3 linked regions of the Danio rerio genome follow. The protein of the gene in region 1 purifies or fractionates together with the protein of each later gene. This does not show direct contact. Links are inferred from orthologs where the notes say so. Each region holds a gene or a part of one and is shown in the gene's direction. Other genes may lie near its edges.

Evidence for each region.
Region 2: the proteins of polr3glb (region 1) and polr3f purify together in Homo sapiens (co-immunoprecipitation; 5 studies listed by BioGRID and IntAct, counting the BioPlex papers as one, with this or other methods). This does not show direct contact. The link is inferred for Danio rerio from reciprocal best matches to the Homo sapiens genes POLR3GL and POLR3F.
Region 3: the proteins of polr3glb (region 1) and crcp purify together in Homo sapiens (co-immunoprecipitation; 3 studies listed by BioGRID and IntAct, counting the BioPlex papers as one, with this or other methods). This does not show direct contact. The link is inferred for Danio rerio from reciprocal best matches to the Homo sapiens genes POLR3GL and CRCP.

The regions. Positions count from the first base shown.
Region 1 is NC_133191.1:47,264,917-47,269,051, forward strand, and holds the start of polr3glb (DNA-directed RNA polymerase III subunit RPC7-like), read left to right. Parts: upstream 1-1,190; 5' UTR 1,191-1,385; intron 1,386-1,619; 5' UTR 1,620-1,622; coding exon 1,623-1,730; intron 1,731-3,433; coding exon 3,434-3,563; intron 3,564-4,135. UniProt on the Homo sapiens protein: DNA-dependent RNA polymerase catalyzes the transcription of DNA into RNA using the four ribonucleoside triphosphates as substrates. Specific peripheric component of RNA polymerase III which synthesizes small RNAs, such as 5S rRNA and tRNAs.
Region 2 is NC_133197.1:25,888,527-25,892,907, reverse strand, and holds the start of polr3f (DNA-directed RNA polymerase III subunit RPC6), read left to right. Parts: upstream 1-1,576; 5' UTR 1,577-1,778; intron 1,779-3,715; exon of another isoform or gene 3,716-3,844; coding exon of another isoform or gene 3,845-3,900; intron 3,901-4,381. Other genes in the region: dzank1 (double zinc ribbon and ankyrin repeat-containing protein 1), read right to left, coding at 649-799, 1,153-1,261. UniProt on the Homo sapiens protein: DNA-dependent RNA polymerase catalyzes the transcription of DNA into RNA using the four ribonucleoside triphosphates as substrates.
Region 3 is NC_133196.1:33,903,960-33,906,716, reverse strand, and holds part of crcp (DNA-directed RNA polymerase III subunit RPC9), read left to right. Parts: intron 1-704; coding exon 705-799; intron 800-1,115; coding exon 1,116-1,173; intron 1,174-2,757. UniProt on the Homo sapiens protein: DNA-dependent RNA polymerase catalyzes the transcription of DNA into RNA using the four ribonucleoside triphosphates as substrates.

The DNA.
Region 1 (4,135 bases):
TGACACCCAAAACGACAATGCCAGTGACTCGCGACTCCCAACATCCTCTGAGGTGGTTATAAGTACAGAAACCCATGTCTATTCTTTGTGGAATTAATGTATGTCAGTGCTGTTAATGTGCCAGAAAGTTTAACCTGGTGTTATAAAATCAGTCTGTTACATCTGACGCTATTGCTGTCTTTAACATAATGTAATTACCCCAGGGGTCGCAATCCAATAGAACTAGTAACTAGAAGCTACTATAGTAACTCAATACAGCAGTATATAGTGTATAAAGATGTTAAAATGTTAAATCACTATAAAGATGATTTAGATTTTTCTCTTCAGTAGGTTATGGATAAAATATGGTAATTCTTATGGTTTAATAAAAATAACTCGATTTTTGGAAATAACTAGGCGACCCCCCCCCCCTTCATTGTCGCGCGTCCCCCACTTTGAGAACCCCTGTAGACTATCAAAAAAAAAAAAAAAAAAAAAGCTTAAAAGGGCTAATAATTTTGACCCTAAAAATTTTCATTGAAAAATTCAAAACTGCTTTTATTTTAGCCAAAATAAAACAATTAAGTCTTTCTCCAGAAGAAAAAATATTATCAGACATACTGTGAAAATTTCCTTGCCCTGTTAAACATCATTTGGGAAATATTTTAAAAAGAAAAAAGAATTCTAAGGGGGGCTAATAACAATACCTCAACTGTAAACACACACACACACACACACACACGCATGCACGCGCACACACACGCACTGTGTCTGTGAGTATTATACAATAAAGCCATGAATTACAGAAATATCTATACTGTATGTACACGGACAAATATGTTTCACATATGTAATAAAGTGTTGTAACTTAGTTATAGGCTACATAAACAGTAGTTTTAATAAATAATAGCCAACATTTAAAACAGATCAAAAATGTTTATCAAAATTTGTCCTAAGTTAAAAATGTGTGTTGTTGAATAGTTTTGGAACAACTTTGATAAAGGTTTTGATCCACTTCAAATGTTGACTACAGTATAATAATCTTTAGCATGTGCATCAGCATCTCTGTGAGCAATATGCAAAACATGTAATGAATCCTTACATATTTTGTAATGATTTGTTTGTTTAGCATGATTCACTTTGAGTAGCACTGGTTAACGTTAACTGACGCGAAACGCGGAACCATAAAAGACCGCGCTCATGTTTCTGGCAGGAGTGTTTTCAGAAGCGGGCAAAAACAAACGGGCAGATGTTTGGCGGGTGATTTTATTGCTCAATTTTACATCAATAAAACCTGAAATTACATTAAAAACAACCACGTTTACTGACGGATTAACCAATAAAACCTTTGCACAATGAAACGAAGTTGAAAATAAAGAGGGATTTCGCCGCATTGAGTGAAAGAGGTGTGTTTATATGCTACAGTTCGGTCAAAACAAATAAAACGTTACATTGAAAATAAAACATTTACCAAAAGTACATTTATGTAAAAATAAATATTTTAACATGTTTGGCCTAAATGTGTCTTTTCTAGCCGAATTTAGTTGTTTGATAATGAGTAAACTTATACTGTGAATAACGGATAAACGAGTTAAATAAAGAGGATGTATGATTAATAAATGTGAAATATTTTGTCTCAGATGATGGCAGGAAGGGGCAGAGGGCAGCTCACTTTCTCTGTGGAGATAGTTGGGATCGGTAAAGGTGAAAATCTCCCTCCGTCCTGCATCCAGCCGACACCTCTGTTCCCCGTGAGTCTTCAAGACACAACAATAAAGCCTCGTTTATAAACTGTTATACGCTTGTTATACACTGCTATTATCAAGATATGAGTCAGATTCTGCATTTCATGAGCATAAACGCAGTGCTTTAATAGTTTAATGTGGATGGCGTCACGAGCTACACAGAAATTGCATTGAAAAAACGGTCCTGTTCAACATTCAGCAAACATTACATTTTAAAAGTGTCTAATATCACAACAACATATTTGTTTAAATATTTGTTTTAGAATTCAAATTGTTTTATTGTTGAACACATCATCACAGTATTCCACCTTATTTACCTTAACAGTTACATAATAAGCCACTTACACTCACCGGCCACTTTATTAGGTACACCTTACTAGTTTTGGGTTGGACCACTTTTGTCTTCAGAACTGCCTTAATCATTCGTGGCATAGATTCAAAAAGATACTGGAAATATTCCTCAGAGATTTTGGTCCATATTGACATGATATCATCAAGCAGTTTGCCCGCTAAACATCCATGATGTGAATCTCCTTTTCCACCACATCCCAAAGATGCTCTATTGGATTGTGATCTGGTGAATATTGTGGCCATTTGAGTACAGTGAACTCATTGTGATGTTAAAAAAAAAAGTCTGAGATGATTTGTGCTTTCTGACATGGCGCGTTATCCTGCTGGAAGTAAGAGTAGAAATCAGAATTATCAGCCCCCCTTTGAATTTTTTTGTTCTTTTTTATATTTTTTAAATGATGTTTAACAGGGCAAGGACATGTTCACAGTATGTCTGATAATATTGTTTCTTCTGGAAAATTAAAGCAGTTATTAATTGTTAAATACCATTTTAAGGTCAAAATTATTAGCCCCTTTAAGCAATTTTTTTTCCGATAGTCTACAAGCCATCATTATACAATAACTTGCCTAATTACCCTAACCTGCCTAGTTAACCTAATTTACCTAGTTAAGCCGTTAACTGTCACTTTAAGCTGTATAGAAGTGTCTTGAAAAATATCTAGTCAAATATTATGTGCATCATGGCAAAGATAAAATAAATCAGTTATTAGAGATGAGGTATTAAAACTATTATGTTTAGAAATGTGCTGAAAAAAATATCTTTCTGTTAAACAGAAATTGGGGAAAAAAATAAAAAAGGGGCTAATAATTCTGACTTCAACTGTATGTTTTTTTTATTTCAATTAACATTTTTATTACAGTAAAGAAAATAATTTTATTGCCATTTTAAGTGTCTGTAGATGTCTCTGCCATAAAGACAGTACATAATATTTGACTAGATATTTTTCAAAATACTAGTATTCAGCTTAAAGTGACATTTAAAGGCTTAACTACAGTAGGTTGATTGGGGTTTATTAGACAAATCATTGTATAACAATGTTTTTTTTCTGTAGCCAATCGAAGAAGAAAAATTTTCTTAATGGGGCTAATAATATTGACCTTTAAATGGATTTTATTCTAGCCGAAATAAAACAAATACGACTTTCTCCGGAAGAAAAAATGTTATCAGACATACTGTGAAAATTTTCTTGCTCTGTTGAACATTATTTAGGAAATATTTTAAAAAAGAAAAAAATCATTCTGACTTTAGCTGTATGCCCTATTAAAAGCTGATTTCTGTCTTGGCATGTGTAAATGAGTGACAGCAGGTGTTTGTGTGAGCAGCAGACAGATGTGAATGTGCTGTTTGATGTGTTCAGCCTCTGGATCAGAAGCCAGTGCCCCTGCAGGCAGGTGAGGAGGCCGAGTACATGCTGGCCCTCAAACAGGAGTTTAGGGGAGCCATGAAGACGCTCCCGTTTTACATCCGTCCAGCGGCTCCCAAGAAAGGTCAGTTCAGAGCCCAGGACTAGCTCTTTACTGACATCTTTAAAGGGCTTATATTATGCTCATTGTATCATGTCATTTTTTTTTCGAAATTACATAACATGCGATTTCTACACTTTGGCACATATGCAATCCTTTTTTTCTAATCCTGAGTCTTAATGCAATTATTGTAAATAACATTTAAAGGTGCAAATGTTTAAAGGTATGTAATTTGACACCCAGTGGTTGAACTAGGAATTACATTCCAGAATCAAAACATATGCAAGTGCAGGTTGCCAGATGACCAAGAGGAGCGAGTCTCAAGCCTAATGTAAACCGTGTTCAGTATAAAAGCAACGGCACGTGATAGAACAAATATTTTCCATATTAAAAGGAGTTTTTGTCCTAACCAACACCTCGAATTGATATGTTAGAAACGGCTTTTATTTCACACAGGCGAACAACAGGAAAACCTGACAATGATCACCTCATGTAGTTTATTCAGTGTTAAAAATGAATTTTATGTGATTTTCAGGTTTTTTATTTTTAATAAATTTGCAACAGTTTGAAAAAATATTTTCTCACACTGTCATTAA
Region 2 (4,381 bases), on another chromosome or scaffold:
TTTGGCTTTTGTCATCATCACTGTAGTTTTAGAAACAGCACTAAATTTCAACACAAAAAGACCTTGAACATTTTTAAACAAGTAAACAATAAAGGAATAGTTTTATTGAAATTTACCAAATATGAAAAAATACTTTAGCAGTTTTTATAGTAAGTACTTTAGTGATATAATTTGATCTCAAATATTATATATTATAAGTAATAAGGTTTTCAAACCATACTATTGTACGTTTAAATTAATCTGTTGCGCTAACTCAATTAATTGTTTAGGTATTACAACACATGTAGTAACAAACTAGTTTCTTAAATATAAAGGTTTTCTACAACTAAATGGTTTATTATACTACAATACTCCACAGTTTGCTGTTGTAAAACCAAAAGTTAATACAGTATTTATTACAGATTTACAGTTTACTATAGTTAATACTTCACTATGCTGTAGCATTCATTAACAAAGTGTTGTAAATACTATATTACAATCAAAAACACTATAGTATTTACAATAAACTGCTATATAAATTCTTTCATGATGTGGGAAAGCACAAAACAAAATCTCAAAGTTTTAATAAAAATCAACACTTGTAGCAGTGCCTGTAGTTAAAAACAACACACACATTATTATAAAAAACAAAGCATAAAATGTACCTACATAGAGACGGCCATGGCTTTCACATACACTTTCCCCACAGGTAACCGAACAGGTTCAGTGTACTTTAGAGTGCTGTCAGCAAAACCTGGCCTCTTTGTCAGCTCCGGCTTACTGCCGTCCAGCGTGTACAGGACCCTCACATCAGGGGATTCTGGGAAATATACATTATAAAACACATGAAAATCAACAAGACGCAGGCTTGTGCTAAAGAGATCAACCAAAAATGTCATTTCCTCTTACTCAAACGGTTCTAAAATGTTATAAATGTCTTTCTTCTGTTAAACATGAAACAAGACATTCTGAAGAATGTTGTAAACCAGCAGCCATTCACTCCCATAGAAGGAACATATTTTGATTGTCTATTGCTGATGCTTTCCAACATTTTTCAAAATATCTTCTTTTGCGTTCAACAGAAGAAAGTTATTCATAAAACTTAGAATAAGTGGAGGTTGAGAGCTTTTTCATTTTGGGGTGAACTGTATCTTTAGAGCTAAACTGACTCACCTGACTTGATCTCAACAGGAGTGCTGGAGTCTATCTCATGCTTGGCTTTACCTGGAGGAGGAATGCGGATGGGGATTATTTGAGGTGCTGCCACTGATCCTGCAGTCATGTTTGTGCTCTTTAACCTGCAATATAGAAAATAAAATATATCATTAGAATGACATAAAATGCTTAACGTTATACTATTATTAGTGCATTAGGCTACTGGATAATAAGAGCTTACACAGACTATTTTTTGTAGATTGAAGTATCTCTAATCACTTTACAATTGAATTGTAAATATTTCGTATATTTATATTAAATGAGTGTTTTTTTCGATGACACTCGAAGCACACGATGTGTACGGTGTGTACAAGACGCTGTAATGTTAGACTGAACACACAGCTGGCTGCGCTATTGGTGGGTCACGTTACCCATGGCAACTGATTAGTGCGCATGCGCTCATTTCCCACAGTCAAATTTAAAGGGGTAACTCACTCCTCTTGACATTAATTCTGTAGCCATTACTTCATATTATTTTCGTCCATGGAAAACACAATTAGAAAAATTCAAAATCGTTTATTATTTTCTTGAAACGGTCTAAAAGGTTGGCTTTTGATTGACCCAGCTCCCTCTACAGAATTGTGGTAAAATTTTAGATTCACACATTCGGACTTTCCTCAATAATTTAACTTTTTTTTAGTTTTTTTTTGCAAATTATAATATAAAATATTAGCAGCCAATGACTATCTAAGCACAACATTGTTCACAGTCAAATAAATATTGCTAATGTTGTTTTGAAGCCGTGTGACTGAATATTCAAAGTACCATGATAAACAATATAGGGAACATGTCACAACTTGTCACTGAATGAATGTGCCAATATAAAACCAACTTTAGCTCAATCTCTAGGGACCAGTAACTGGATCAGATTTTTATATCAATTTTACTTTACAAATTCTCTATTTGTCTATTTTACCTGAAACAATTTCCCGTGTATTCTCATTAAATAAATTTTAACACATGCGTACTTGATGCAATATTTTAAACAAAGTTTTTTTTTTAAATCATATGTCTTTATGTTTGTAAAAGAACACCCAAATCGCCATTCAGCATAATTTATGTAAAAAAAATTAAAAACATTGTGACCTAAAGCATAAAACAAGATCAATGTAATTCTATTTTGAAAGTACAGCATATATACGTTTTATAAAGCTTAAATTAATTATCAAAAGTACAATTAATTAGTGTGTCACAAAAGTCTTGTGTATTTTACTGGGGTATTATACTATAGACCATTTCAAGGGATGTAAACAATAACAATGGCACTAATGTATTTCCTCTATGACATTTAGAATTTCCATAGCTTCCAAGAATAAAAAAGGACCACAAATTGATAAATAATGTTATAGCAGCTGTTTTAAAGTTAATATATGATTAAATTGATTTGTTACAGTTATGAAGTAGTTCAACAACGAGCAGGAAATGTTCATGGGTCAGTGACATTGCCACATCGAAATGGTCTATTTATAACTCTAAATTATATTTTAACGGGAGTCTTCTACAGTGTTGGAGGTAATGCGCATTACAAGTAACGTGAGTTCCGTGATAGTATTACTTTTCTAAGTAACGAATAAAGTAACACATTACCTTCAGAAATTAAGTAATAAAATTTTAGTTACTTTTTAAAAAGTGTAATGTGAGTTACTTTTTAGTTTAAGTAATTCGCTTTAAAAAAATAAATTGCTGAATTAAAATGAATGCCACACTCGATGAGAGAACGCAGGAACAGACAGACATGAAGATGGCAGAGCTATAAATTTCTGCGATGGAAATATTCTCATTACTTTGAACACATGGAGGAAAAGCAAAAGAGTATCATTTGAATAGATTTTACTCCCAAGACAAAAAGTACTAAAGTAGGAAAAGCATTCTTTTAAACATTCATTATGCACCATGTATAGCTCTGGGCTCAGAAACTGATTCGAAGATAACTTTATCCTACATAATTTTTAGGAATTCAGATTTTTTTTTTTTTTAGGAAAAGAATTTTATACAGTGTGTTGTTAACTGTAGAGCTAAAAAATGAAGAAGAAGAAAAAAAACCTGCAATGTCTGCAAGAGATCAGCCAGCCTCACATAGGTCAAAAAAAGTAAAGCAAAAGTAACATAACGCATTACCTACCATAAAAAGTAACTAAGTAATGTAACTAGTTACTTTTTTGGGGAGTAACTCAATACTGTAAAGCATTACTTTCTGAAGTAACTTTCTCCAACACTGGTCCTCTTTAAATCATGAGGATATTTTAGTCACAGATATACTCCCGTACAGTAGGTGGCGATGTAAATCTTTTGTCTAGATTTGAAGCTTTCAGTTTCTGTTGCCATATCCGTGTTTTATCAACGAATGTAGAATACTTCCGTTATAAATACTAAAAGTCGTGTCTTAACTCCGAAATATAATTGGGTTTGACAAAACAAAATGCTTAATTCTCCGTTAAAAAGAGACAAGCCACCGATGTTGCGATCCTATTTGACAGCAGTCTGATGGGTTATTTTTCGCTGTCTGGCAACCCAGTCGCCTGTAAACTCTCCCCGCCTCTCGCACACTGCAATACCACACGGCGTTTCATCTTAGCTTTAAATGGGTCTATGAATGTATTGTTTTGTTGACACTAGGTCTAATACTCCAGTAACTCCAGTCTGATGCACAATGACAGAAGTTAAAGTCAAAAAAGAGTCAACGGACCCTGTAGATATCGAGAATAGGTGAGTTGAACGCAGTTAACGTTACACTATTCTTGCGCATGCGGCCTGTTGACGTTAACAAAACACCGTAGGACAACGTGTAAAGTTACATGGATTTAAAAAAGCAATTAAAGTTTCCATCAAATGTATTGTCTTTTTTTGCCACGTGTACATGTTTAGATACCGAAAAGTCTGACAACATGAAGCAAAATCTCTTTCTTAGTAACTTAGAGAGCTTCGTTGCATTTCATGTACGTTTTGAATGACGAAGTTTTAATAGTGTATGAGTTTGTAAACAACCTCTTTATTAGTATTATTTTAGATGAAGAACAATACATTGCATTTATGTATGTCTATTTAATGCGATATGTTTATTGGCTTGAAGTACTAGTTCAGAATTACGTCAGCAAAATGCATTAAAGTATTTTTGTTGATAAAATAAAAGTGCATCCTTTACATGTTCATCCTTTTCACAAAGACAATACGTTTTTGTTTGTTAGAT
Region 3 (2,757 bases), on another chromosome or scaffold:
AGGAACAATACATCTTTCACATTGTCCACAAACCAAGATTTTTGCTGCTGGCACCATTGAAACCGATGTTTGGCATTTGCGTGAGTGACCAAAGGTTGGGCTATATCAGCTCGGTCATGTATATTGACCCTGTGGAGCTCCCGACAAACAGTTTTGTAGAAAGAGGATAGTTGAGGTGCACGTTTAATTCTGCAGCGAGTTGGGCAGCTGTGGTTCTATGTATTTTTGGATACAATCCAGGTTAGCACCCTGACATCCCTTTCAGACAGCTCTTGCATCCACAGTTACTACTGTTGGATGTGATTCATCCTTTTTGGTGGTATGCTAACATTACTCAGGAGACCGTGGCTCTTGATACATCACAACTTGCTGTCTTGGTCAGAGATACGCCAGCGAGACGCACACCAATTTGTCCTCTTTTGAACTCCAAAATGTCACCCATAATGTTGTGTGCATTTAAAACTTTTTAAGCAAAACCGTGCTTTTACTCTCCTAATTACACCTTCACACTCTGCTCTTACTGGTGGAATGCATAATCACCTGCCATGAAACCTCCAACACTAAATTGGCCAATGTTTTAGTTTCATTGTCCAACCCCTGTACAAATTGTCATATTGCACAGCCTTATCTCCAAAACAAGGCAAAGATTTGAGATTGTGTTGCTCAGTCATGCCCTTTAACGTCTGAAATCTCTGCCTCAACAGACCCTGAAGTACCTCTCTAAGACGCCATGTGTTCATCAGAAACCAGAGACAGTGAAGGAGTTCCTCACCGCCATGCTGCCTCACAAACTTACTAAGTACTTTTTATTTTTTCTCTTATTTTGTAAGCATGCATTTAAAACTTGTGCACTGAATCACCTCTTTGAAAGGAAAAACCTTAAAGCCTCAAACTGTGTGAAAGCCACAGTAAATACAGTGCATTGCAGTGACTTTGTAATTCTGGGTTTGAGATGCACCATTGTGAAGGTTTGTGTTGTGATGTTTCTGAAACCAGTACACGTGTGAGTTGCTGGTTTTGCACTTGACAATGAGTCTAGTGTTAGTTTATCAGATTTTTTATTTTAGCTTGTGAAAAAAGCAGCCTGTTAACTTCTTTTCTATTTCTGTTCAAAGAGCAGAGAAGCTGCAGCTCTTAAACCACAGACCTCAGACTGCTGTTGAGATCCAGCTGGTATGAGTCTTCACATCTTTTTTTCATACACTTTGTCTTTAACATCTTTGCCCATTTTTGACAATGCTAAGTATGTTCAAAATGTTAAACCCTTTAACTGCCCCACCAAGAAACAAAAATGTGTATTGCATTACCTAACTCCTAATGTCGCTAGTTAACATACTCAATGCGAATTTTTTTTTCAACACATGCCATGACGTGTCGGTTTATGGTAAAAGTACTGCAATTAATGCATATACTATGAAAAAGCTAAAACTATGAAGTGTACATTTTTGAAAACTAAATCATCTTCATTTTTAAGGTATGCCATGAAATATTTCAGATTCTCATTTAACATGTTTTTTTTGTTTTTTTTACAATAAAACCTAAATGAAGTGAAGTAGTGCAACAGGATTGTTTGTTTGATATTTTTTTTTTGTAAAAAAAAAAAAAAACATTCTTTACTTAAACAGTCAATAATATGTGGCCATTTTGTCGAGCAGGCAATTAAAGAGTTGAGAAATGATAGTGTCCCATAAATGTTTTTTTCTTCTTCAAAAATTACCTTTAACATATTGTTTAAAGTAGCTGTTTGTGAATGTAATAGATCTGCAATTTTTTAAACACATTAAACTAAGTCTATGGTTAACTATGGTCACCTTAAAGAAATAATTCAGAAATGCCAAAGTAAGCATCAGCAATGCACAGGGACTTTTTTAAATAATTATTTTGGTTGGTTTTTACCTTTTATTGAGATAGGATAGTAAAGGACAGACAGGAAACGATTGGGTTCAGACAGAGGGAAGGATCAGCATAGGACCCCTAGCTAGGAGTCGAACTCAGGTCGCTGTGAGCACTATTGTGCCATATGTTGGTATACTTAACCACTAAGCAATTGGCGCTGAATTGCACAGGGAATTTTCAATAAGCCAGCTCAAGCCCTTCCCAGCAAGCATTTTTTCATTCTAAAAGATGTCTAATAGATGTCTAAACATTGTCGTCTTGGCTAAAACAAGGCTAAATTTGGGCTGTCAGTGAAAATCTTATAGAAGTCTAAAAATAGCTCAAAACTAAACTAGTCGTCAAATAGACAGAAATGAATGACTACACATATATAGTCTGTCTATTTGACGACTAGTCTAGTTTTGAACTATTCTTAGATGTCTATTTTGTTTGCATGTTCTCCCCGTGTTCGCGTGAGTTTCCTCTTTGTGCTCCAGTTTCCCCCACAGTCCAAAGAGATGCGGTACAGGTGAATTGGGTTGGCTAAATTGTCCGTAGTGTATGGGTGTGAATGATTGTGTATGGTTGTTTCCCAGAGATGGGTAGCAGATGGAAGGGCATTTGCTGTGTAAAACATATGCTGGATAAGTTGGCAGTTCATTCCGCTGTGGCGACTAAGCCGAAAAAGAAAATGAATTAAGAGAGTTTGTGCACAACGAATTATGAAGTTTTGAGGTGTAACAAAGATTTATTTTATTTAATATTTATACAATTTATGCAAAAAAAAAGAGAAGTTTTTCCTAAGTTTTCCGAAAACATGATTATTTTACCTTCCCCATTTTCAGATAATTTCACTTGTTTTGAGGAAAAACTAATAATTTT